Saccharomyces cerevisiae S288C: one gene and its partners. The gene in region 1 interacts genetically with each later gene. Each region holds a gene or a part of one and is shown in the gene's direction. Other genes may lie near its edges.

Region 1 (3,170 bases):
CTGCCACCTCAACAGCAACAACTACAATCTGTTCAACATCCACAACAACTTCAAGGCCAGCCTCAAGCCCAAGCTCCCCAACCTTTAATCCAGCATAACGTGGAACAGAACGTTTTACCTCAAAAGAGATACATGGAAGGTGCAATCCACACTTTAGTAGATGCCGCCGTATCCAGTAGCACCCACACAGAGAATAACACAAAGTCTCCTCGTCAACCAACCCATGCCATTCCAACGCAAGCTCCCGCAACAGGAATAACGAACGCTGAACCACAGGTAAAGAAGCAAAAGTTGAACTCTCCAAATTCAAACATCAACAAATTAGTAAATACTGCTACTTCCATTGAAGAAAATGCAAAATCTGAGGTGAGCAACCAATCGCCAGCAGTAGTGGAGTCTAATACCAATAATACTTCACAAGAAGAAAAACCTGTAAAAGCAAACTCAATACCTTCAGTAATTGGCGCACAGGAACCTCCACAGGAAGCTAGTCCTGCTGAAGAAGCTACCAAAGCAGCTTCTGTTTCTCCTTCTACAAAACCGCTTAATACGGAACCAGAGTCATCTAGTGTCCAACCAACTGTATCATCAGAAAGTTCAACAACAAAAGCAAATGACCAAAGCACTGCTGAGACCATAGAACTTTCTACTGCTACTGTTCCTGCAGAAGCAAGCCCTGTAGAAGACGAAGTAAGACAGCATTCTAAAGAGGAAAACGGCACAACTGAAGCATCTGCACCTTCTACTGAAGAGGCGGAGCCAGCAGCTTCCAGAGATGCTGAAAAACAACAAGATGAAACCGCTGCTACAACGATAACTGTAATCAAACCTACTTTGGAAACAATGGAAACAGTGAAAGAGGAGGCCAAAATGCGTGAGGAAGAGCAAACATCTCAAGAAAAATCCCCACAGGAGAACACACTTCCAAGAGAAAATGTAGTAAGGCAAGTGGAAGAAGATGAAAACTACGACGACTAAAAAGTTTGCATTCAAAAAATTAATCTACTAATTTATAATCAACGAGAAATGTTGTGTAGCTCACAATTCATTCATTATGTTGTGGATACATATATAAATAAAGAAAAGGCTAAAAAAAAAGGTGGGTAACGTGAATTAGGTTATTTTTCATATATGCACATGTAAATATATGCGTATATAAATATATTATTATTTGTATCATTACATACTTAAAATCTATTATTGCTTAAAAGGTTTTCCCGATGAGCATATGTAATAATATTGGGAATTAAGGTGCATTTTCGTATCCTTCATTGTGTATCTACAATCTCTTCAAGAAATTCCCTTATTTGCTTTAAAACGGTTTCCCTTGTTGAATCCGATACCATTTCTAGAAAAAAAAATTCCACTGTTAGTAACGTTCTCTTTTCAATAAATTTAGTGATAAAATATTCACATACCTAATGCTTTGGGTTCTACGGTGGATAAAATTTGGGTAAAGTTCGTAGATTCATTTATGTTCATCTCTGATTTGGTCAAATCTTTGACTTTATCCACCCAACCTTCTTGAAGTAGTCTGGCTTTTAGTTCGTTTGAAATTCTAATAAATGTGACGGTGATCTGAATAGTCAGTAAAGTAGATTTTTTAAAAAAGACAACCCCTATAATATTTTATCATACAGTTCATAGTTTCCTGATTCTACAAGATATTGTTGTATTTGACTCTTTAATTGCGCAGTATCCATAGTCATTGGAGTGAAGGCCAGAATTGTTACTTCTGATTTTGTCGCATGTGTTGGTCAAGCCATGCCTATGGCAATTTTCATTTTTTATTTTTCATAATTCCTCATTTTGGTCTTCATGGAGGAAGAGGTCCGGCAAGCGAATACACTTCCGTAAGGGATGGCAAGTACGGCCGTTAGCGGTTTAATACAACGTCAGACAGCCTTCATATGAATCACGTATATATGCTTTTATGATTATTCTTTCGGCATTTTCCTTCCTTCTCATACTTAGATGTTTTTGAGAAACGTAAGAGTTATTTCCCTCAATTCAAGGAGACTATTTAGAACTATGAGCACCGTCAAGGGTAAACCAGAAGATGCTAAAATAATTGAAGCCCGTCACGTTAAAGAAACATCTGACTGCAAGTGGATCGGTTTACAAAAAATCATCTACAAAGATCCCAACGGGAAGGAAAGGGAATGGGATAGCGCAGTCCGCACCACTAGAAGTTCCGGTGGTGTAGACGGCATTGGTATCTTAACCATTCTAAAATACAAAGATGGAAAACCTGATGAAATTTTGCTACAAAAGCAGTTTCGCCCTCCCGTTGAGGGCGTATGCATTGAGATGCCAGCCGGTTTGATAGATGCGGGTGAAGATATTGACACTGCTGCCTTAAGAGAATTAAAAGAAGAGACTGGTTACAGTGGTAAAATAATTTCTAAAAGCCCAACAGTTTTTAACGATCCTGGTTTCACAAACACCAACCTCTGTCTGGTTACTGTCGAAGTTGATATGAGTTTACCTGAAAACCAAAAACCAGTTACTCAATTGGAAGATAATGAATTTATCGAATGCTTTAGCGTTGAGTTGCACAAGTTTCCTGATGAAATGGTTAAGTTGGATCAACAAGGCTACAAGTTGGATGCACGTGTTCAAAACGTAGCTCAAGGTATCCTCATGGCCAAGCAATACCACATCAAATAGATAGCGATAAGTAGTGTTTCTGTATGAAAAATAGGCGAGATGTTAATACCAAAATACAAAGTACCTTTTGCAACAAGATAGTGTCCCATTTATGAATAAGTACATTGAAAAAGAAGGACGTAATGAAAATAACATTCCGTAGGAAATTTGACAAGGCTATTTGCCATCTTAAGTAGTCAGCATTGAGGTATATTTTCCAAAGCGCGACGTTACGTGTTACCAAATTTTGAATCTAAACTAGCCCTTTTCTACTATTTCCACTGATCTACCTTACGATTCTGCAAAAAACTACCATTAATATCTGTTGAAATCAGTGGTAGTGCTCCTTGTATGTCATACATGGTTAGTGTTCCTTGATTTAAGTATTTGGCTACAGCTTGGACATTGCCGAAGGGCGGCAGAACTGTCTGATAATTGCTGGGATTCAAATTAACGATGAGGGCACAACATCACCTACAAGAAATATAAAAGAAGTAGTCCTTGAGGATATATTTATCAAC
Region 2 (8,484 bases), on another chromosome or scaffold:
AGGTTCTGTGACAATGCTAATATATTCCTTTTTTTTTTTTTTTTAACTTAGTATACGCTGTATTGGAATCAGTGATTTCATCTAAGTTTACTAACGCTTACACAATTGTGGAAGAAGAGGATAGAAACACCTCAGATCCCCTTGTTACGGTAAAACCCCTATTCTATGCCTCAGTAATAACTAGAAATAGCCGATTATCATTATGTTAAGCCTGTCGATACGCATTACAGTTCAAAAAAAAGGCGGACATCGTGGTTGATATTTGTTTGAGGCCTTAAATTTTATTGTATTACATGTATAAATAGCTAACAACATTTGTTCAGTTGGTACCAATCACCTTTGTTGCTGGGTATCCGCACACATTAACAAGACAATGGAAAAGGGAGAAAACTAACAATCTTAAACGATAAAACCGGACGAAATAACAGCTGTTATTTTTCATGCTAGAACTAATGGCTTGATAGTATACTTGTACCTTGTATCTTAGTGCTTGAACGGATGATTCCCGTCGCCCCACACCTATGCATACAAGACGTCAATCTTCCTGTGATTATATTTTGAGTATGGCGTAGTAATCCCATATTTCTCGTTGGGTGGTGCTGATATTTGAAAATTCATGACCTGTTCTACATACGGCTGCCATTGGTAGGACCGCAATCACAGTGTAATTTTGAAGAACTTACATTGGGCCAATGGATGAGCTGTGACCATAATTTATTAGTTGTTTGTGTCACAAGCTCAGACTTAGAAGTTCTCTATTGCAAACATTATTTCATGTTTCCTTAAATTTTTTTTATTGCACCAACTTTAGTGACCCCTTGTGAGCTCCAACATATTTGAAATCTTCTTAAATTTCTAGTCGGCAAGCAGCAAAGAATTTCAGTAGTAATCTCTACCGCGGCAATATCGATGCAAATGTAACTACCTGTAAGGATATTGTCTTCAGTGGTTTGGTATGGTTTTGTACCTTACTCAACATCACGAATAAAAAGGAAGGAATACGAATCATGATATTGATGTTTAATCTTTCACCGTCAAACAATTAACATATATAGTATATATATTCTTTTATAGAATACTGCTTGAGCTATTTTTTTACTTGACAGAATGGCGCCGCGAAGAACCCCTAAATTTTGTAGCCCTAATTTCGATCAGTTATATATAGCTATGGCACCCTCTTGAATAGCTTCATGATTGGATCTTTTTATATAGTTTCCACGTACCACGCAAAACTTGTCTCAAGTAGCCACTTTACGAGGATTTTGAACGGATTTCTAGCAGTTTCTTCACGCTGGGGCGCTGTTGCATTCTCTTATACCAAGCTCGAAGCGCCTCGCACTCTTCCGGCACTTGTAGTTTTACAATTGCAGCAAATATTAGACCAGCTATTACTGTGATGTCAGCCATTGAGAATGAATCACCAGCAACATATGGGCGTTCTCTGAGAACGGTATCAAAATAATGCATTCCATGTAGGGCTTTGTCGCGCTGGCGAAGTCCCCACTCTTTGTTTTGGTAAAGCTCGACTTCAGGCCCCAATCCAGGTGTAGCATGGTGAAAATAAACACTAACAGGGTCGAGCAGTTCCAACTCTGCGCGTTTGTTCATCATGTGGATTACGCCTTTTTCCAGCGGTGTTTTGCCGGTAAGAGTGGGTGTACCATCAAGTGCATCAATGTATTCAGTAATGGCTGTGCATTCAGCGATTAAAGTCCCGTCATCAAGTTCAAGCACTGGCACTGTGCCTGAATAGTTCTTGGCAAGAAATTCAGGCTTCTTGTGCTCTCCCTTCCAGAGGTTGATCCTCACAAATTGCACACTTGATAGCATGTTCTTCTCAGCCAAGGCAATGCGGACTCGGGCCGGATAAGGCCCTGCGGGTGTGTCATATATTATCATTTTTTGTTTCATCTTTTCACCTCCATTGTAAATCAGGAAACCTCTGCCATTCATGTATCCTTTGTAGGTACTTTATATAGAGCACCAAGTTTCTATCCTTTAGCAGGAAGCACATTATTAATCATTTGAGACGTAAACGAATGAATTAGTAAGCAGTGAAAGAAATTCGAGCACTAAGCGCGACCTAAGGGAACGGACACGGAACGGAGAAACTGAAGTATCAAATACTTCCATTTGATCAAACCACTTGTATCCACTCCCTGTTTTGCACACGGTAGTAGAAGGTCTTTTGAATATTTACTGTAAATACCGATTTCTATGTCCTTCTTGTCCGATTATAGGATTCGGGTCATTTCCAGCGCCTACTTTCCTTCTTGATTTCAAAATGTGTGGTTAACGTACTCCCAATTGCACTACTGTTCCTACAGTTCACGCGCACCTCTTTCTGATGAAAATGCAGCTGCATTAATCTGCGATCTATTGGCATCTCGCTCTTGTATCTGCCCTCCATTCGTGAAATTTTACTCTATTACCATCTTTGATCATTTTTTTGTCGCAAATGTGATACGGCATCCATCGAATTTTGCTCGTAATTGTTTGCCATTATCGCCCTTTTCATTCCGTATTATTCATCCACTCCGCTTCATAATGGGTTCCAAAAAAAGAACTATTGTACGAGCTTTTAGACTCACGAAAACATTACTTGAACAATAATTAGCGCCTGCAGAACTTGACATAATAAAATTCCATTTTCGATATCTAGCTGTCTGAAGATATGATATCTAAGTAATACGGGAAAGTTTCCGCTATTATTCTCTGTTGCAAGCTCACGTGAAAATGTGGATTCGCGAGTGGGGTGTAAGTGAGGATTGCCAAGCCTTTTGTTCGAAAACTTCTGCAGGAAGCGTTGTGTTGCAAGGATGATGCAGCATGAAATATGTGTTTTCTTTTTTTCGAGGTTCACTCCTACAGGTGATTCCTTCGAGAAATTCTGCAACCCATTGTGATATGATGCCTGGCCGAAAGATTTCTTCATTTCTTCGGAGCAGGTTCGGCCCGAAATCCTCATGATCGAGCCGAATGCCAAGAAGTAAAACACCAGGATGACTAACCAGTTATTATCATGTGTATACAGTACTTTGGTACCTTTATCAAGAAGTATACTAAAATATACCAACACCACACACATGCACATGGTAGCTGAGCGAACAGTTTCGAGATTTCAGCATTAATTTCATCTAATAAGACTTTCCGTCTGCTTTCAAGATCAACGTGCTGAACATTTTTACTCTGCTTTCATAATACTCCCATTTTAGGCTTTGATTCAAAAGCCCACTCAATGCAATACCTAAAATGATATCCTTCAAAGATATGTTTAATGAATATGCAGCCACAGCTTTGAATTCAGATTGACCTTGTGTTGCATTAAGTCAGACACCTCTAGATTTGTGTGGCTGCTCTCAAGAAAGGATGTTGAAGAAGATTTATTTACGGAAGAAATAACTGTATACGGCATTTTATTCTTTCTTAAACGAGCAAATTAAAGAATAGACGGATAGAGACTGGAGCTTTAGCATGTGTTCCGAGAAGTCCTTGACACGCGCCACGGTTGTTATGCCGCACACTACAATGATGTGTTTGAAAAAGTATATTAATGCCTATTGTCAAGATGCAATTCATCAATTCCAGCATTGAGTGATTCTTCTCTGGTGCGGTAAAACATAAATTTTAAATCTAGTACTCAACCACCACTGAACAACTATTAATCATCGTGGAAATTATTATGACGGAAATTGAATTTGGGCAACCCCTTCCCAGCAATCTAGACTATGCTGTTTCTTTTGGCATTCCTACATGGGATTCGGCAATAGGCTATGCGGAAAAGGTGCCAGAGGTAATAGGCAAAATGGCTACAGGATATCCGAGGTACTTTCCTCAACCCCCCGTCCAGAGGCTTTGTGCTTACTTTGTTAAGAAATTTGGGCGAGGTTCAGAAAACTGTCGTCCTTTTCCATCCGTTAACCTGGGTTTAAAGTGTTTCGAGTACGTAAAATCTGTCTCAGGACCTGAAAGTAAAGCTCACCTTGAAGTGGAAACAGTTACGATTAAAAACCGTGGGGCAAAAACGTCGAAAGAACCGGCGGAATTGGTGCTAACCATTGCTGCTGTCCTTGCATCGGAGGAAGAGTTCGAGACTGTGAAAGAGTATTGGAAATTAAGAGGTGAATGTGTATCTAGTCGATTGGCGTTGTCTGTCAACCAACTTCTTGACTGCGCTAATCATGGCTCAGAGCAGGTATTGCGTGAGCTAGAGGCTGGTGTTTTTGCAGCAAAGAAGGGGGAGGAGAAAGCAAAGAACCTGATAAAGGGAAGGATAGTTGAGAATCGCTTCAGGCCCTTTGGTTTGGAGAAGAAAACCCCGAATTGGGAGGGACTCAACCTCAACCCAAATGAAGACGTTTATCTTGTATCAAGTGGCATGTCTGCAATATCTACGGCTCGTAATTTACTCACCTTTTGGGAGGAGAAGAAGAATTCAGGAGATTCATTAAACAAGACCACCTCTGACCAAAAGAAAAAGCCATTATTATGTGACACTGTTGGCATCTTCGGCTTCCCTTTCAAAGATACGCAGGTCATTATGACTAAATTTGGAAAATGTAAATTTTTTGGATTTGGAAATTCTAGAGACGTTGTCGAATTACAAAAGTTTTTAGAAACAAGCAAACAACGCATTCTTGCCGTTTTCGTCGAGACACCTTCAAATCCTCTGCTGAATATGCCGGATTTGAAAAAATTGAGGAGTTTGGCCGACCAGTATGGCTTTTTTATTGTAATTGATGATACTATTGGGGGCCTTAACGTTGACATCTTGCCCTATGCTGATATAGTCAGCACGTCCCTGACTAAGCTTTTCAATGGTGCTAGTAATGTAATGGGCGGCTCTGTCGTTTTAAATCCGAAATCATCTCTGTATCCATATGCTCGTGAGTACTTCAGGAGCGCTAATTTCGAGGATTTGTTATGGTGTGAAGATGCGATAGTTTTAGAACGTAATTCCAGGGATTTTGAAGATAGAACTTTACGTGCTAATGCAAACACAGGAATATTGTTGAATGATTTGCTTTTACCCGAGGAGGGGAAAATATGCAAAAAGATTTATTATCCAACTGTTACTTCTAAGGAGACCTTTGAGAACTACGAAAGTGTACGTAATGAACGTGGTGGCTATGGATGCTTGTTCTCTGTAGCCTTTTTCAATGAGGGCGATGCAAAAGCATTCTATGACTCTTTAAAGGTATTCAAGGGACCTTCTAATGGTACTAACTTTACCTTAGCATGTCCATATGTCCATCTGGCGCACCACTCAGAATTAGAAGAAGTTTCCAAGTTTGGGGCCGACCCCAACATTATTAGAGTAAGCGTAGGTTTAGAAGATATCCAGTGGTTATTGAAAGTTTTTTCAAGTGCTTTAGATGTTGTGAAAAGCAGAGGCTCCAAACACTCATGAAGCAGATCATGAGTAGAATATCAAAAATCAAGAATTCTTTATAATCTTTATAGAATATTGTTTATAAAAGTTTTTTTCCATTCTAGCATATAATTTTTTTGGAGGAAGTCTTTTCTGGAACCTTCACATGGATCTTAATTAATGAAAGTAGACAGAGCTCATAAGATCACTAGTTGTTTATAAACTGAAGATGTTCCTTCTTATTGACTTCAACATTATATCGCTCTGAATTAGTTGATCTGTAACTTCAGAGTTTCTTTACCAGAATAAAAGCGTCACAGTTTTTCTTTAGTTTATATGTACACAGGTTGGGGTTTACTATAAACTATAAAAAAGAAGTGTTGTCGCCGCTATTTTAAGGTTTATACACAATTTTAACCAAAAAAAAGAATAAGTTGAGCAACGTTGGAACTGCCTCTGCAACGAATTCCGGCTATATACAACCTGCATCTTTGAAATTCAAATATCCAAAGTTAATGAAGAAGGATAATAATTTTCATCATTCAAAAACTTTAGATCTTCCACGGGCCTTTCCGCTTGTGGAGTAATCCTGAACGCATGTCTGTGAATTGGTTCTTCCCAATCAATCACTGCTGAATGTTGAACTCTGCGGTTATCCCAAATGACGACGGAATGAGGTTCCCATTTGGCTCTTAACTGTAAATCATGGCTGCTCTCCACTAGATTGTACAAGAAATTCAAAAGTGATTCAGATTCTTGTCTTTTCAATTCGACTATTTTCCTAGAAAATGCACGATTGACATACAAGCATTTCTTTTTCAAGACAGGATGAACTCTGACCAGTGGATGAATATGCGTGACAGGTGCTCTTCTTTTTATGCCGCCCTGGCGCTGTGAATTCTCTGCCTGTTCCTTTGAGCTATGGATGACATGAAGCGTGCTCAAGAAATCTTGCAAAGGCTTCGACAACCTGTCGAAAGCCTCGATCGTATCCGCAAATAACGTATCTCCACCACCATCAGGACCTTCAACAACACTAAAGAAAGTATAAGAAGGTGGCTGTAACTCGTAAGAGACGTCTGTGTGCCAGCCACCAGATGATGTCGAGTCATCAAAAACTCTTGCAAATTCTTCCGCATCAGGTCTTCGGAAAGTGATATGCAGCTCAGGATTGTTTTGAGGGTGGCCACTAGTTTGATGAATGTGCAACTTGCCAAAATGTCTTCCGTATTCAGTCACATAATCGGGTCCCTCGTCAGCAAAATTCTGATTTCTAAAGACAACTACTCCCTTTTGGGCGACAAGCAAAGCGAGTTCATCTTTTGCAGCATCAGAAAGATCAGTTAGCTGGATCCCATTGATCTCGAGACCTAATTTCGGGGTGATCTTCTTCACCTTTAGTTGACCAACGTTTTCTTTTGCAAAAAGGTTTGAAAAGTTACCGTCAGCTCTCAAAGCAGGATCATGGTATTCGTGAAATTCCAGCGGGCCATACTTTTCAGTAGGATCCCATGTAGGCAAATAATCTGGATACTTCGATTTCTCTCTATAAGATTTACGGATTTTCAATAAACCAGATGGAGAGACCTCATCTTGGCCATCATAAAAATGGGTATCAAAATTCCCGTAACCTTGCTTGGAGGTATAATTCAGGTTTTTCAACCCATTTGTAATGATTTTGACTGGTAAATCGGTAGATGGAAGAGGGATTGCTGTTTGAGCTGCTGCAGGAGACATATTTTAACTGGGTTACTGTGCTATGTTTGTACAAGTATGAAAGGGCCGATTATACAGCAATAGTACACCTTTTTATATGTTTCTGTCATCAAGAACTGTTACTGACTCCTTAACTTTTCCAGCATTCTTGTTGTATTGCCTACATACCTTCTTTATGTTAGTAGTATGATAAATAAACTCCATGTGCCCTGTGGCGCCAAATAAGAAATCGACTCAAGCCACATTGAGGCTTTTGTCATCATTCCCCTATATACTAATATAGCACCTTTCCAAGGGCCAAGAGCTCGTCCAATGAGACGCATGAGTTGGGTATTTTAAGCTGCACAGTAGACTATATAGATAAAGCTAACTAGTATGTAAAAAACGTTACATGCTATGGCGCTCTTAGAAAAAACGCATAATATAAGCTTCAAGTCAGTTTAAGCTATAGTTCGCACGGATATCTTCAAGAAGACCGATTTGTTGTGGCTGCCATCCCAGCTCTTTTCTGGTACCTTCGCTTGAAACTGGGCCATCTCTAGTGACAAAACAAGTGAGGAAGCCAAAATGACTTTCCGCGTCATCAACAGGGATAGAGGCCACGGGAACATTCAAAATTTCTCCAATCACACGCGCAATATCTTTGAATGGTATACCTTGTTCACCAACGCAATGATACACTTGTCCTGTTTTTCCTTTCTCTAAAACAAGTCTGAACAGAGGAGCCGTATCCAAACGATGTACAGCCGCCCAAGCGTTTGTGCCTTGTCCGACATAGCCAGATTTTCCGGCAGCTTTGGCAATATTCATTAATATTGGTACAAAAGCCTTGTCCCCCTTGCCATGAACCGAGAATGGGAGTCTGACAATTCTTGCTGAAACACCTTTGTCTTTGTAACTCAAGGCAACCTGTTCAGTGACAGCACGCAAAATTTTGGAATCTTCATCAATACCATCCTGTTCGTTAGCAACTTTGTTTGGTCGCAAAGAAAGTGTACCATTCGTATATAAGAAAGGCTTGTTAGAACCTTTAAGTGACTCTAGCATAGCTACAGTGGCCTGACGGTCAATTTCGCAGCACTGTTCAAAATTTTTAAAATCATGCACAAATCCTAAATGAATAACGCCATCAGATTCAGTGGCACCTTTTTTCAAAATTTCCAGATCCTTGAGATCACCGCGAAGGATTTTTGCAGCAGGATCAATCGACTTAATCTTTGCAGCAGCCTCGTCTGACCTTGCCAAGCCAACAACTTCATGACCCGAGGATATTAGTTCAGATAATACGGCAGAACCAATGAAGCCAGAAGCACCAGTTATAAATACTTTCATTTTTTGATCTCTTTTTTATTTTCTTTTGTAAAAGTTGAGTTATCACGCCTTAGCGCTTATGAATA
Region 3 (8,638 bases), on another chromosome or scaffold:
CCTCAGTAGAAGCATTTCTACCAATTGGGGAAACGTTGATCATACCATTTCTAAATTCCAAGAAAGTACCTCTTCTCTTTGGCAAGTCAATTTCAGATAGATATCTCAAAATGAAGACGGCCAATTTATTGTATTTTTCCTCACCGAGCCAGTTGATGAAGGATTGAGAAGCTAATTCCTTACCTAATCTGTAGGCGGTCAAACCATTTTCAGAGAAAGAATAGTCAAATTCATCTAAAACGTTTGGGCCTAACTGTTCTAATTGCTTGCTTAAGTCAGAACCACCGACAAAACCAATGCAGCACTTGTTTCTCAACTTGGCCAAAGTTTTTCTAACTTCTTCAGAAACAGTTAATCTGGCTGGTGTCAAGGTACCATCAACATCGAATAAAACCAAAGTTTCTGGTTTTTCCTTGTAAGCGAATTCAGCGATACTCATTATTGGTGGTTATATTAGCAGATAGGTAAAAAAGGAGAAAGAAGTACTAAGGAAATTGTCGATTTAGTTTTCGTCAAAGATCTTATACTTTGCCAAGAAGAATAGACGATATAAACAGAAAAATAAGTGAAAAGAACACGTAAAAAACGGCACATTTTAATATATTTCAAATTTTTTTTTCATCAACGACAAAAGGAATGCATTTTATCCACTTTTCGTGTCTCATGACGAGTATACCGATAAACGCCAAATGCGTATTTTATTATCTATTTTGGCCAAAATCAACGTGTCCCGTGGATTCAGCGTGCCTAGCAACTTCTCTTTCACCCACAAAGGTCATTTGGCAAGTGTTGCATTTGATCTGGGCCTTATGAGTGTTGAAGGAATAGCCAGTTTGCTTCAAATTTGAGGCCAGTTGCAAAGCTGCTGTTAGAACATCATCTGATTCCGGCTGGTTCTTGTTGAAAACAGTTTTAAACTCGTTCATGGTCAAGGAATCATAGTGGATTCCGTTGAACAGTATCAAAATGTAGTTGTCGAACTTGTCCTCGTTGAACTTTTCGATTTTAACAGCGTCAATGTCGACTACATAAATAGCTACTGCGAGTGCATCGGATATGATACCAATCTCGATGGCTCCACCCCAAGATTCCATTTTCAAAATCCATTGCGCGTAATCTTTGTTAGGTTTGTCCAATATGGCGTCATTGAACTTGACGGGGTTGTTGAGGACCTCCTTAGAGACCATCTCCCTGAGGTCACGAACGCTATCTTGTTTGAAGATGCCATAGGCAATAGCATGGAACAGACACGAGTTGTCGTCGAGAACAGGATGTACTGATAGGACGTTTTCTCCACTGCCACCAATTGACATCTCAGTGCTCTTCAGCACCCTCTTTGGTTTGGGTTGTGGTGGTGGCAAACTGAAGCTTTCGTTACTATCAGAGGACTCTATTGTAATCTTTTCACCAGAGTTAATACCCAGCTCGTCCAGCTGGGTTTGTCCCAAAGAAGCGTCTTCCCCTTGCAAATTGATCCTTTGAGGCGGATATCCAAACCTCATCGTCTTAACATCTACATTGATATGCTCAATAAGATCATTTAGTGTTGCATCTTGCTTCAAAGTAACGACTTGGTTGATTCCTGCTCCAGTAACTTTCAGTTTCATCTTGAAAGTTTCTTCTCTTGGTTATCTTCTTCAATGTTATCTTGTTTTCAAAGGAAAAAGTTGTTATTTGCCACTGAAATCGGCTTATTTCGCCCTTTACTATTAGTTACTACCATTGCCCTATAGAAACGATATATATTGGTACGAAGAAAATACAGATCACAACTTCAGTTCTACCAATTGCAGCTTCACCAGTTGATGTAATGAGACAGCAATTGAACGTATGTAGAACAGATTAAACAATAGCAAAACGACCACAATCAAGTATAAGAACAACCATGTTTCCATGGTGACCTTGAGACCTTGCTGCTCTGCAATTGCGGGAGCCGTAACAACCGCTTCTCTTGGTTGTTCAAGGTCAACCTCTTTCAACTTATTTTTTACTTCTTTATCATCTTGCTCCTCTTCCTCCTTGCTGATAGTAATTTGGCACTCTTCGACATTGTTCTTGATGAACTTGGAAAGAATACGCTCCATTAATTGCGCAGCCTCCAATTGACCATTCTTGCATCCATTTTCAACCATACCTTTGATCCAACTGGAACCAGTCCATTCCACCCAAAAGGATACCCGTAACAGACACGTTATTTCGTCATTCCAACGGATTAGATACCTTGTCTTAGTTGAGAAACTACCACCACTGGGCACGTTCGGAGTGCGTATGCTACTGATAACCTCATAGTAAGTATCAGGATCTTTTCTCTTTATTACCTCAGCAACATAACATGTCGTGGACTTGGGCCCCGCAGGAAAGTGCAATGCTTTCTCGTATGAATACTCACGCTTCAAAGTCATGGAAGATCCGTCAATGCTCGTGAAATTTGGAATAGTGGTAATTTGTGAACCTTCTTGACCCCGTAAAAAATCTAGAAGAAATTCGTTTTGCTCTGAGTTGAACATGATCTCAAAAAGTATACCAGGTGCACAATCGAATGGTAACTCCTTGAGAACAAACTCGTTATTGGCCATAGGTTCAGCCGGAAAGCTTGTTGAATGATGATATATTGGACCATCATACTGATACGAGGAATCGGCACGCAGTTTATACGCTTTCTCTTTTTCTTTATCCGGCGAGGAACTCGTACTATTGGGGGTAGTCTCATTTGTAGAGATATTTTCATCGTCATTTTCATTAGTGTCATTATCATTAGCGTCTTTATCATTGTTTTCCTCATCGATGGAGTTTATTGCATCATCAATCTCTTTGCCATTTCCTGACTTTTCTGCTTTAGTATTGATGTTTTCGCTGGCCATGTCCTTCTGCAACAAGGTTCTTGACCACACTTCTTTCATTAATCCAAATGCAGCATCCCTGGATATAAAACCATTAAAGAGAGTTTTGCCCATCTTTGTTTCGATGGATATTGCGCTGGGGAACAACCCAGCAGCAGAAGTTTTTTCCATAAACGTGACATCTTCGAACGCAATCAGTACTTTAGCAATCCAACCAAGAACATTGGAGTTGAAGCAGAGATGCGTTTCTGTTATGTATAGTTTCCCCTGGTAAAGCAGCTCTCTATTCAGCCCACAATTAAAATCATCCAGTAGTCTGTCATCTTTAGGAACGGACTTGAATGTCTCATGAAAGTCTTTATTTCTTTGCTCAGACGCATAGTGATAAGGTGTGTCCATGTAACGTTCTTCCACGAATCGTCTATGATCGTAATTGTCTTCTTTCATTTGGGAAGGAGTGAGTCTTGTCTTGACCTCATCAGGCTTTTCCACCTGTTGCAAGGGAGAGCCTATTTCAGCAATTGTGGCATTACTGATACGGCGGCTTGATCTTCTTTTGGACCCCATGGAAGGCTCCCTTCTATGTGATATAATGCTTGGTTGCGAAACTGGCGAAGTTGGCGTAGTTGATCTAGAAACTGGGGATGGCACGTTTGACTTAAACGAAGAGATCATTCCACTGAAGAACGAGGACGTCGAAGAAGTCCTTGATTGATCGTGCTTGATCTCTGTAGGGTGTTCATCGGCGGCACTTTGGTTTGTAATCACTACTAAATTCTTGCGTACGTCGTTGGTCTCTGTATTTAGGGGCACTTCTTGCAGTGACTCAGCTTCAGTATCGCCGGCATTGTCATTGTTACTTGCATGCTCAAAGGGGGGACCCAATTGTTTCACAGAATCAGTACTGTCCTCATTATCTGATACGGGTTCCCAGTTATCTACATCCGACATCACCACTAATCTTTTTGTGTAGTTGCCTTCTTCACCCTTTTCTCAGATAGCGAAATGGTTGAGTGTTTTAATATAATTGTCAAGATGCTTTATGAAAAAGGGTGGGAGAAACAAGTCCCCCTGCTCAGCGATACGCGATCTCTCTGATCTCAGACATAAAGCAAACATTCTATCATGAGTGACATTGAGGATGACGGTAATTGGTAATATCTGACCTTCTGACCTCCACTCAACACAATGCAGAAAGCTATCAAATGTTTTGAACCAAACATGAAAGAGATTCAGAAAGTTGCCAAGCCAACGTGATGTCACAGGTCAAAGTTTAAGTGAAGGCTATTGGAATCTGCGGATCAGACATTCACTACTACACGGATGGCCAGGTCAGCGTAAAGTAACCTGGGAAGCCCATGACTTTGGGCCACGAATCCAACGGTGCTGTTCTTGAAATTGAAGTATCTCAAACTACTGTAAAGCGGGTGATGCAGTAAGCATATAGCCCTCATACCCAAATAGGTTTACCAAAGAGTTTCTGTGAGGCCATTATAGTTTGCAGCTCAACATACCATTTGCTGCATCACTGACCGTGACGGCACCCTTTGTCAAGAGTTCGTGGTTAACGTCGACTGCGTTTACTGATTACCGTTACAGTGAATTTCTAGCAAGAGTCCTCTGTAGATGCCACTATTTGTCGCTCTCCATGTAGTAAGGCCGTCCTAGCTGAAGTGTGGGGAGTAAGCTGTAGTTATAGGTGCTGGAACAATTGATCTGCTGGCGGGTGCGGTACTCAGAGGGTTTGGTGTTCATGAGTACACATGATTCCAAGAAAGAGCAAAATGGACAGTTTATAAACGCTATGAAGAACTGCTATAATCAGAAAAAAAGGAAGCCTGATGGATTCGAGTCCTCAGGTACTCAAAAGAGCGTTGAGAATATGCTAAAATGTGTCAAGAACGGTGGAACAGTTAAGTAGGTTGATATCCACCCCTCGAATGAAAATGTGGGGACCCTCCCAACGAGATTCCTTCAGAGAGATTACATATAAAGTGAAATTCAAGTATGACGATGGTGACTACTCCTTGGCCATTGATTTGATGTCTAGGGATTGTATTAATGTCTATGAGTTGATTACCGATAGGCTACTGGTTGATTTCCTTTCAAAAAAGCTGCTCAAGCTAAGATAGGTAAGGTGTTTATAGAATTTATCGAACTGTATCTAAATATTTTTAATATTCTTGTTTTATTACTTTGTGGCTTTTGTATTCAGTCTGCACCCTGTTTCGCCATCGATTCTTATAATACATACATTTTTATATAAGATCACAGAAAATACGAAGACGTAAAAAAAGAGTTCCGAATGAAAGAAGAAAGAATCAAGCACAGGAAGACAAGAAACGATGTTGTTCTACTCGTTCGTGTGGTCTGTACTGGCCGCTAGTGTTGCTTTGGCAAAGACACATAAGTTAAACTATACCGCTTCTTGGGTAACTGCCAATCCTGATGGATTGCATGAAAAAAGGATGATTGGTTTTAATGGCGAATGGCCACTTCCAGATATCCATGTTGAAAAAGGAGATCGTGTTGAGCTTTATTTGACTAACGGCTTTCAAGACAATACTGCTACTTCTCTACATTTCCATGGTCTTTTCCAGAATACGAGTTTGGGGAACCAGCTTCAAATGGATGGTCCTTCTATGGTGACACAATGTCCCATCGTTCCGGGACAAACATACCTGTACAACTTCACTGTCCCAGAGCAGGTAGGAACGTTCTGGTACCATGCACACATGGGTGCCCAGTACGGTGACGGTATGAGGGGTGCATTTATCATCCACGATCCGGAGGAGCCCTTCGAATATGATCATGAACGAGTCATCACTCTATCGGACCATTATCACGAAAATTATAAAACGGTTACCAAAGAGTTTCTGTCAAGATATAATCCAACCGGTGCTGAACCTATTCCTCAAAATATTCTTTTTAATAATACGATGAATGTAACTTTAGATTTTACACCCGGTGAAACGTATCTCTTCAGGTTCTTGAACGTTGGGCTGTTTGTATCCCAGTATATCATTCTTGAGGATCATGAAATGAGTATAGTAGAGGTGGACGGTGTTTACGTAAAGCCAAACTTTACTGATTCGATATATCTTTCTGCGGGGCAAAGAATGAGTGTGTTGATTAAAGCTAAAGATAAAATGCCTACAAGAAACTACGCTATGATGCAAATAATGGATGAGACGATGCTTGATGTTGTCCCACCTGAGTTACAACTCAACCAAACTATCCAAATGAGGTATGGCCACTCGTTGCCGGAGGCACGCGCATTGAACATTGAAGATTGTGACTTGGACCGCGCCACGAATGACTTTTACCTAGAACCTCTGATTGAGAGAGACCTACTTGCTCACTATGACCACCAAATTGTCATGGATGTAAGAATGGTCAACTTGGGTGATGGTGTGAAGTATGCATTTTTCAATAATATCACTTACGTCACACCAAAGGTGCCTACTTTGACAACGTTGCTTACCTCAGGAAAGCTTGCGTCAGATCCTAGAATTTATGGTGATAATATCAATGCGCAGTTATTGAAACATAATGATATCATAGAGGTTGTTCTAAACAATTATGATTCTGGCAGACATCCATTCCATTTGCACGGTCATAATTTCCAAATAGTCCAAAAGTCGCCAGGGTTCCATGTTGATGAAGCTTATGACGAATCTGAGCAAGATGAAATGACCGTCCCTTATAACGAATCTGCGCCATTACAACCGTTCCCTGAGAGGCCGATGGTGAGAGATACAGTGGTTCTTGAACCTAGTGGACATGTTGTCCTGAGATTTAGAGCTGACAACCCTGGTGTCTGGTATTTCCATTGTCATGTAGATTGGCACTTACAACAAGGTTTGGCTTCGGTCTTTATTGAGGCACCCGTTTTACTTCAGGAAAGGGAAAAGCTTAATGAGAACTATCTGGATATATGCAAAGCCGCTGATATTCCGGTAGTTGGTAATGCTGCAGGTCATTCGAATGATTGGTTTGACTTAAAAGGATTACCAAGACAACCTGAGCCACTACCAAAGGGATTTACTACTGAAGGATATTTGGCATTGATTATTTCAACCATTATCGGTGTCTGGGGCCTATATTCCATTGCTCAGTATGGTATTGGCGAGGTTATCCCTAACGATGAGAAGGTGTACCACACGTTAAGGGAAATCTTGGCTGAAAATGAAATAGAGGTTTCTCGCGGCTAATTAAACAAGAAAATATAAAAGAAAAATGAAAGAAGTTTATATTCATATTGATGATTTGCAATCCTAAAAAAAATGTAGCACTGTAAATACTGCTTACTATTGAGTATTTTCATTTTGTTCATTCCATTCCCTATATAATATTCATACGTAATCAAATCTATTGCTTTTTTTTTCTCTTTTATTTCGTTGTTTTAGCTCTGACGTTGTGACGCTCAGCCAAGAACGTCACAAAAAAAGGATGAAAATCAAAAAACAAAATATTCAATAAGTGTAATATGAGAAGAGAAAAAAGAAAGAACAAGTACAGTTTCTAACATTATACTTTAAAAATTATTAAGCACAATGACAGCAATGAAAGCTATTGTCTGGAGACTTCCCAAGATGCCGAAAATCAAAATTACAAAAACTTATGAAGTTACGAAAATTACGGCGATATTGACACTAGTAGGATTTATAATGGGCCTTGAGGTGCCGTCATTGGCAACTTTTCTCACAAACAAAACGTTTAATGAGTACTTCAAGTATCCAACTCCTTTACAACAAGGTTTACTCATGGGGTCCACCCCCCTGGGTGGTATCATGGGATGTTTTATTTGCTGCATAATGAATGATAGATTCAGTAGAATATATCAATTTCAATCGGGAATAATAATATGGAATATTGTTACGTTATTGAACTTTTGTATTTGGGATATATTAGGTTTACTAATTTGCCGGATGATCAAGGGTATGATCCTTGGGAACTTTTCAATTTTAGTAGCATCCTACGCAAATGAAGTTATCCCCCGCGGCAAGCGTGGAAGTACGATGAGCTATATTCAATTGTGTTTAACCATTGGAATTCTTGTTATGCATTATTTGTGCATTGCATTAAGTCTATGGGATTCTCATTTTGCGTTCCGTATAGCGTGGTGCATAGGAATCATTCCTGGATTACTGTTCTGGATGGCTAGCTACGCTCTACCTGAATCTTATCACTGGCTAGTACTACATGGGAAGATGAGTGAAGCTCAGGAAATTCAGCACAATTTAGCCAAAAAGTTTAATGAAAGCCAGCCAAGGGATGCAGTCCCTGAGATGAGTAAGATCGAATTAGCAGGAGATTTTTGGATTGGAGTTAATGATTTGGACTTCTCCAAAAAATTACCTCGGGGTTCGTTTAAGCCTTTGATTCTTGGAATGACTTTACAGTTATTGGTTCAATTTAGCGGTATAAACATTATCCTTGGTTATATTACATACATTTGCGAGATTGTAGGGCTTGAAGGCAATGTAAAACTATTCACCAGTTCCATTCCATATTTCATCAACATGGTTTTGAGCTTGTTACCGATTACATTCATTGATTACACTAGCAGAAAGCTAATTACCTTGTTGGGTGGCTTTCCCATTAGTGGGTTGCTCATTACAATCGGCGCATTATTTGTGAAGTATGGTCAAGACACCAAGCCCATCGACGGCAATAGGAGTTTAGTTTGGTCAATTGGAGAAAACCCGTTTGTGGGAGGATGGATTCTAACTTTATGCTTTCTAATTGTTGGAATATTTGCCATGAGCCTTTCCAGTATACCTTGGGTTTACACG
Region 4 (7,655 bases), on another chromosome or scaffold:
GCAGTGATCTCCTTGTAAAATTGGAATTCGTCAAACTTATTGTTATTTTTCTCTAAGGTGTAATGTTTGGCCAAAGTAGCTGCAGCTTTTAAGTTTAATTGGTTCCAATATTGCACTCTCAAATCATTCTTCAATATTTTTACAGGCTTTTGTAGTCGTCCTGCTAAATAGAATGTATTCCAAGTAGCTATGTCCTTTAAAAGTGTTTCCATAGAAACCACCCCATATTTTACGTCGTGTCCATTTATATTTGCAAATGGATTAAAATATACGCCTGCGCCGATCTGTTGAAATTTAGACACGAACTCGGAACCGAAGTATTTCAAACTTGAATAATGTTGCGGATTCTGCCTCATATTAATAGAGTGAAAATGTGATGGATATGTGACGCCCAAGATTATATCGATTTGAGGTTTGCTATGACTTTTGGAATATCCCGCTTGTTCGAAAACTCCTGAGCCGTAACCAAATACAAACCGGCACGGAGCTTTGAAGGATGACATTACCCCATCCAGTTCCTTTTGAAGTTCCTTATCGATAGTAATGAGCTGGTTACTTCCATAGTTGGGGGGCAATCTGTGAAACTTGTACATATAATTTGTAAAATTGGAAGTCATTTCGTCAGTTTTTCTTATACCTTTTTCCAAGAGGTCCAGATCACTGCCTTTAGTAATTCCCTCGATGTAGTGATTCGGCCTTTCGTTAATAGTTCCATCGGGGATAATGCCAGCATCATCTATGGAACTTCTCCCCTCCTTTATTTGAGTACTCAGAAGCCTATTAAACATGCTTACGTTCGTTGAATGGCATTTCAGCAGAAACCGTAGACCATTTTCAGAAACTCGTAACATAACTTCAGGATATATCAAAGTAAAAAGCAGCTCCTATTAATTCAAATTATTAGCTCAATCCTATAGCAACGTTTCTCAAGTTTAATTGTTTTGAAGGTTTTAGAACCTTTTTCACATTATTTAGTCCGTCGAAACATCTACTCTTTACTATTTATGGCTAAACAGGCTGAAGGGTATGATTTCTTTTCTTTTCTTTATTCATGTCGGGTAAGAGAAGGTCACTTGACCTATGATGTGGGGGCAAATAATAACGTGGGAATAACAAGCGCGCTACTGGTAAGTGAAAAACTAAGATAACAGTTGAATTTCGTGTTTAGATGCTATAGAGAGTCTGGTACAGCATTGGCGATTTAAGACTTCTCTAGTCCACATTTCTTAAATTCAAAATCACAAGCGCCTGTTAACGATCATTTTATAATCTACGATGTGTAAATGCAAAAAGTGCTTTCCTCCCTCTTTAGTTTGGACAGGGATAGTGGGTAAACGAGTAGCATTATGAGTGCATACATTGCCAGAAAGAAACCGCAAAGCGGCATATCTTTTTTCTTCTTTCTGTTGTAAGGGATGCTTCGTCACGTAAAATGGCCGCCGGAGTGAGATGTCACAGATTACATCAAAAGGTCGGCGTATACTGGATAAGAAAATCCGAACTTTTCCGGTGGGCTTTACCAGCAGAAAAGTGGCCGGGCATGTATTAAATATATCACCGTATTTTCTGCTGGCTTTTTCTTATGCAGAGAACAAAGGCCAGAGTGCCTTCGAGGAAATTAAAGGGAGCAATGTGATAGATATGTCCTGTGTCATTTGCTTCAATTTTTCCTGCCATTTATTTGTAGTTATATTTATATCTAGATCAACCGAAACTATACCAACGACGAAGCTGCTTCTTAGTAAATATATTTTCTACTGTGTCAACGCATTGGAACTGACATTGTTCTTATCCTATAAGTCATACAGTTGAATTTGTTAATTCTTTACTAGAAGTTGGGATTTTCAGCACTTATGTCACCGTGTTATGGACAAAACAGTGCCATCGCCAAGGGGTCTTGGAACAGAGAGGTTTTACAAGAGGTGCAACCGATTTATCATTGGCACGATTTCGGGCAAAACATGAAAGAATATTCGGCATCACCCTTAGAGGGGGATTCCAGCCTGCCTTCCAGCCTGCCTTCCAGCACTGAGGACTGTTTACTACTATCATTAGAAAACACAATCACAGTTATAGCCGGAAATCAGAGACAGGCTTATGACTCTACGTCGTCTACTGAGGAAGGTACAGCACCTCAATTACGGCCGGATGAAATAGCGGACAGTACACACTGTATCACGTCATTAGTTGATCCGGAGTTCAGAGATCTTATTAATTATGGACGTCAAAAAGGAGCAAATCCTGTATTTATTGAGAGCAATACAACAGAACAATCCCATTCACAGTGTATTCTAGGCTATCCCCAAAAATCGCACGTGGCACAGCTATATCACGACCCCAAAGTACTCAGCACAATTTCCGAAGGGCAAACAAAAAGAGGAAGTTACCACTGTTCTCATTGTTCTGAAAAGTTCGCAACGTTAGTTGAGTTTGCCGCGCACTTAGACGAATTCAACCTTGAAAGACCGTGTAAGTGTCCCATAGAGCAATGTCCCTGGAAAATATTGGGTTTCCAACAAGCAACTGGTCTGAGAAGACATTGTGCTTCCCAACATATAGGAGAGCTTGATATAGAGATGGAGAAATCATTAAATCTAAAAGTAGAAAAATATCCAGGACTGAATTGCCCATTTCCTATCTGTCAGAAAACGTTTAGGCGCAAAGACGCCTATAAGAGACATGTGGCCATGGTGCATAACAACGCTGATTCAAGATTTAACAAGCGTTTGAAGAAAATTTTGAACAATACCAAATAGTTGAGGCATTAAAAATGTACCCCATGAAACTCTTGTTAAATTTGTGCAGGCATGAAAGCTACTGTATTTTTTCTTAAAGTAATAAAAATAAAACACAATGATATTAAAGAAAACGCATGCAACTATGGACACTTGCTATGTCGTGAATATGGCACCACGTTGGTTACTTAGCTAAATAAAAAATCGTAAGTACTCGCATTTTTTCTTCTATATTCACTTTGCTTCTTTGGACAGTTATTTCAATAATAAATATTTCTTTTTTTCTAATCTCCCTTATCACCTAAGAGGAAAAAGTTTGAAAATAAACTTATGGCTAGAGGTTATTTGGTATTCCGAGAAAACATTTGAAACTAGGAAGTTTACATATCAGTGCAATTATGTTTCCTTCGATGATTCACGTACCCTCAAAGTCAGTACCATAAAATTGAAAATAAGACAGGTGTTTTTTTTTTTTTTTTTAATCATACAAGAATTCAACCACTTAAGTAGGATATTAGCGCTTCTTGTGCCGAAAGTCTCGTAATTTCCAATTTATATGTTTTTTAGTTGCATCGCCCTGGTTCCACAAACCGTATTTACGAACCCTCTAGGTAATAGTATCTTTGGCAGTTCTTTTCCAGCTAAGATTTTTATGTTCTCACCGTTGGCGGTTATTTTTCTAAATACCCTCAATGAAAAACTCACATCGCACGCACATTTCCTGAAAATATCTTTGAGAAATATAGCAATCCTCGAGAACAATTGCAGGACAGGAAAAATATTAAGAAACAATAATCGCTAGATCAATCATTTTATGGAAAAAGATCTGTACAGCCAAGAAGAAGAAAAAAAAGAAGAAAAATGGCATTACTCTTTTGTAATTTTCTTGATGAATAATATGGGGGGACAATATAATAAATGCACACTATCTGGTTGAATAGACCAAAAAAGATAGCTTTCTTTTTCTACTTTTTTTCTTTTTTATATTAATTTTTTTCTTTTTTCACATTTTCAAGGTCAGCATTGTATTAAATCTATTCATGCCAGAAAGCCATTATTCATTATTTTTCAAATAGGGGTAGCGGCTTTTTCATCAACTCGATTATTACCCTTTAGAGACCTTCCCTAAAGTGAGCGGCAATTATTTCCGGATGTTAGTAGGGTAATATGGTTACGGATTTGTGACACAAAAGGGCTTTTCAACAGTCGGTCTGGGTTGAAGGATTTTCAGGATGACGAAGCTTTCAATAAGAGGGACTGGACTGTTAACGCGGGGAATTATAGGTTACTTTCCTTGATCTGGCTCTGGCTCTGGCTCTGATTTTGGCTCTTGTACTCCTCGGACTTCTTGACTTGTAACGAAATACGTCTTTTGTCCTTCTCTTCTTCTTCCATAGTAGGGGCGAATGAGGGGAGCATAGTGGATCCTTCTAACCATCTAGAATGGGGTGGACAACATATAAAAGAAGAGCAATCTTGCAGCGCAGTCATATTTATGCTAAGTATATCATTATTTCTTGCTAGCGTAAGTCATAAAAAATAGGAAATAATCACATATATACAAGAAATTAAATATGTCAGAACCTTCAGAGAAAAAACAAAAAGTTGCTACCTCATCTTTAGAACAATTAAAAAAGGCCGGGACCCATGTGGTTGCTGATTCGGGTGATTTTGAGGCTATTTCGAAGTATGAACCACAGGATTCAACAACTAACCCTTCTCTGATATTGGCTGCTTCAAAGTTGGAGAAATATGCGAGGTTTATCGACGCTGCCGTTGAATATGGTAGAAAGCATGGCAAAACTGATCATGAGAAAATCGAGAACGCCATGGATAAGATTTTGGTGGAATTCGGCACCCAGATTTTGAAGGTAGTCCCAGGAAGGGTTTCCACTGAAGTAGACGCAAGGTTATCTTTTGATAAGAAGGCGACGGTGAAGAAGGCTCTCCACATCATCAAACTATATAAAGATGCGGGAGTACCTAAAGAAAGAGTCTTGATCAAGATAGCTTCTACGTGGGAGGGTATCCAAGCTGCTAGAGAATTGGAAGTAAAGCATGGTATTCATTGTAATATGACATTACTGTTTTCCTTTACGCAAGCAGTAGCCTGTGCGGAGGCAAATGTCACATTGATCTCCCCATTTGTTGGAAGGATTATGGACTTTTACAAGGCCCTTTCAGGCAAAGACTATACTGCAGAAACTGATCCCGGTGTTCTTTCTGTTAAGAAGATATACAGTTACTATAAGAGGCATGGTTATGCAACTGAGGTAATGGCGGCTTCTTTCAGGAATTTAGATGAATTGAAGGCGTTAGCCGGTATTGATAATATGACTCTCCCACTGAACCTTCTAGAACAGTTATATGAATCAACAGATCCTATTGAAAACAAATTGAATTCTGAGAGTGCTAAGGAAGAAGGCGTCGAAAAAGTCTCTTTTATCAACGACGAGCCTCATTTCAGATATGTTTTAAACGAAGATCAAATGGCTACAGAAAAACTATCAGATGGTATCAGAAAATTCTCCGCAGACATTGAAGCACTGTACAAACTGGTTGAAGAAAAAATGTGATCATTAAGAGTAGAGGTACCTACTTATATATATAAATATATATATACCACTTTCCTTTTCGGTACTTAGTATTGAATTTGTTTGAGTATATGTGCATAGCATAGTGTACAGACTTATATATTCATTAAAATTCTGACGTATAATCAAATTCCGAGGGGTTCGTGAACAATTCTTCGTATCCCGCCCACTCTCCTTTTACCACTTTTGGATAGGTTCGCCATATCTTTCTTTCTGTCGGAACCGTCTCTGACTTTAGCTTCTTCGGTAATCGTGGCGTAATTACCTTGCGCAATATTATCATTATTCAACGCAACTTTTCCGGCTGTCTGCACTTTAGTGCTTGTGTTTGTTTCGTGTAGTTGTGGTGTCACTTCCTGAATCTTTTGGCTCCTTATGCTCGGTCTATTTGATTCATTTACCACATTAGTACTTAATATCCTCTTGGGCTTCTTGAAAGGCTTATTGACCTTCAGAGTAAGTTTGCTGATGTTGAATCCTCCCTTGGTGGCATTGTCCTCTGTCTGCTTGCGATTGGGAGTTGTGACTTTTATGTTCGAATGAACTTCTCTCGCAGTTGAGATATGATTCAAACTTGGTGCATTGTCTGAGATAAGAGGGCGTTGTTTTTGCACCGACAAATTTGAAGGATATGCCCTAACATGCGTTGCTGCCACTTGAATATCTCTATCGTACTCCTCAATAATATTTGAAATAATCACCAAAAACTGACTAAAAATCCTATGTTCTTCAATATCAAAACCTTCTGGATTTAGAATTGCTTTCAGCTCTTTTGAATTTATTTTAAATTCACTAGCTAACAAAACGTTATCCTTTTCCGTATAAAGCATGAATCTGTTGTTTAACTGAAAGTATTTCAGTCTACCATCGTGCCAGATTTTACGTTTCTTGTAAAGCTGATCAGTGTATTGGCATTCATACTCAACGATATGAGAGAGCATACTCTGTCATGCGATCCTTGGGGATTTCTTCTTTCTGGTGTTCGTGAAATGGGCTAGCTTTGGCGTGCAGTTCAAATTGAGATTTCACATCGCGAGAAGCTCTCAAACCGACTTTTTTCCCTAAATAGAGACCAATTATAAGAGCAAATAACATGCATATAAGATTGAGGTAAAGAGATATTATCGCTATTCCAACGAATATGAGCTCTTGGTGTTGAGATTTTTCCCTTGGTAGTTTCAGGAGGCTACCATATATTATTACATTGTTTTCTGAAATCTATAACATGGGTGTCTAATTATATAGAGAGTAGCAGGAAATCTTCGACGAGTAAGTCCAGCATGGAGTTACTCTCTTATTATTCCCACACCAAATCCTATTCCTATGCTAGCAAAGATAGCTAACATCTCTATACATCCTAATACAAAGCACAATGTCCTGAACCATTGTACGTCAATGTCCCATTCAAACCCTTTGAGGAGGCCGATTCTATGTTCATAATTCATTATCATTCTCATTAATCTATAATTTGAAACGCCATTATTTCCATTGATTGAAAAGAAAAAGAATAAGGGCGGAACAAAAAGGCAGATGCACAGTGTAGTTATAACCCTTGGAATACTATAAATCTCGGAGAAGCCATATATTCGGGAATCAAATGAACGTATGGAGGAGGAATCTATTCTTTGAATGGGCATTGTTTCCATTTGAAAACTTAATTGCTGATCTCGATCAATTTCTTGAGGAATTTTTTTATATTGATGTTGCTTAATACTATTGTCACCTTTTCCGACCCCAGAAGCTAAACCAGCTTCTATATTACTTTCGTATTCCTTTTCGTGTAGTTGGTTTGGACTACGCATGGTGTCCATTGCGATACCAAGAGGGACTTGAGGATTAGGAATTTTCTCTAAATCAATTTCGTTGGTATTCTTCTGCCTTTGATCTTGCATTCGAGTTCCAGAGGTTTCATTAGTTGGATTATACTGCCCATTAGAATGCACTGTATTTTTTAAAACAGCGGAAGAACTTCGCTGGTCATTAGCAAGGTCAGCTGCTTCAAAAGGCTTTAATATGTCAATTAATAGGGAATGGTTTCTTGGGGTTTTGAGGCTAGTGGACTTATTCGCTGGTATTCTGTTCCAGGCCTTTTTAGGAATTTGAAATTCATGTGGGATAAACGCTTTATCGGGAAAAGTACCATTTAGCGTGCTGTTAGGAACTCTGCTTTTTGCTACATCAACAGCCCCTTCCACAGGAGAAACAAGATCTACACCATACCGCATAGAAGGAAATGAGTATGTACCTTGTGTTTGCCTTGTAGACTTATTTCCGGAGACGGTAGCCCTTGGTCCCTGGTACGGCGCAGTTCCTTCGGGTGGTGGAT

What was found.
Region 2: mutations in YSA1 (region 1) and HSU1 together harm fitness more than expected from each alone (negative genetic interaction), as found in Saccharomyces cerevisiae (2 studies listed by BioGRID).
Region 3: mutations in YSA1 (region 1) and FET5 together harm fitness more than expected from each alone (negative genetic interaction), as found in Saccharomyces cerevisiae (2 studies listed by BioGRID).
Region 4: mutations in YSA1 (region 1) and NQM1 together harm fitness more than expected from each alone (negative genetic interaction), as found in Saccharomyces cerevisiae (2 studies listed by BioGRID).

Annotation. Positions count from the first base shown.
Region 1 is NC_001134.8:460,678-463,847, reverse strand, and holds YSA1 (ADP-ribose diphosphatase), read left to right. Parts: upstream 1-1,974; coding exon 1,975-2,670; downstream 2,671-3,170. Other genes in the region: transcription regulator CYC8, read left to right, coding at 1-978; SUS1 (Sus1p), read right to left, coding at 1,269-1,348, 1,419-1,558, 1,639-1,709.
Region 2 is NC_001144.5:19,887-28,370, forward strand, and holds HSU1 (cystathionine gamma-synthase), read left to right. Parts: upstream 1-3,682; coding exon 3,683-5,410; downstream 5,411-8,484. Other genes in the region: glutathione transferase GTT2, read right to left, coding at 1,252-1,953; JLP1 (sulfonate dioxygenase), read right to left, coding at 5,870-7,108; YLL056C (uncharacterized protein), read right to left, coding at 7,523-8,419. UniProt on the Saccharomyces cerevisiae protein: Plays a role in inorganic sulfur assimilation during sulfur-limited conditions; catalyzes the conversion of O-acetyl-L-homoserine (OAH) into homocysteine in the methionine biosynthesis pathway.
Region 3 is NC_001138.5:43,954-52,591, forward strand, and holds FET5 (ferroxidase FET5), read left to right. Parts: upstream 1-5,185; coding exon 5,186-7,054; downstream 7,055-8,638. Other genes in the region: phosphomannomutase SEC53, read right to left, coding at 1-439; ubiquitin-specific protease OTU1, read right to left, coding at 702-1,607; LAM5 (Lam5p), read right to left, coding at 1,767-3,791; YFL041W-A (uncharacterized protein), read left to right, coding at 4,781-4,972; YFL040W (uncharacterized protein), read left to right, coding at 7,397-8,638. UniProt on the Saccharomyces cerevisiae protein: Iron transport multicopper oxidase, which is required for Fe(2+) high affinity uptake. May be required to oxidize Fe(2+) and release it from the transporter. Essential component of copper-dependent iron transport.
Region 4 is NC_001139.9:578,091-585,745, reverse strand, and holds NQM1 (sedoheptulose-7-phosphate:D-glyceraldehyde-3-phosphate transaldolase NQM1), read left to right. Parts: upstream 1-4,309; coding exon 4,310-5,311; downstream 5,312-7,655. Other genes in the region: TAM41 (putative phosphatidate cytidylyltransferase), read right to left, coding at 1-851; YGR045C (uncharacterized protein), read left to right, coding at 1,450-1,812; RME1 (Rme1p), read left to right, coding at 1,854-2,756; MTE1 (Mte1p), read right to left, coding at 5,455-6,270; BUD9 (Bud9p), read right to left, coding at 6,616-7,655. UniProt on the Saccharomyces cerevisiae protein: Transaldolase is important for the balance of metabolites in the pentose-phosphate pathway.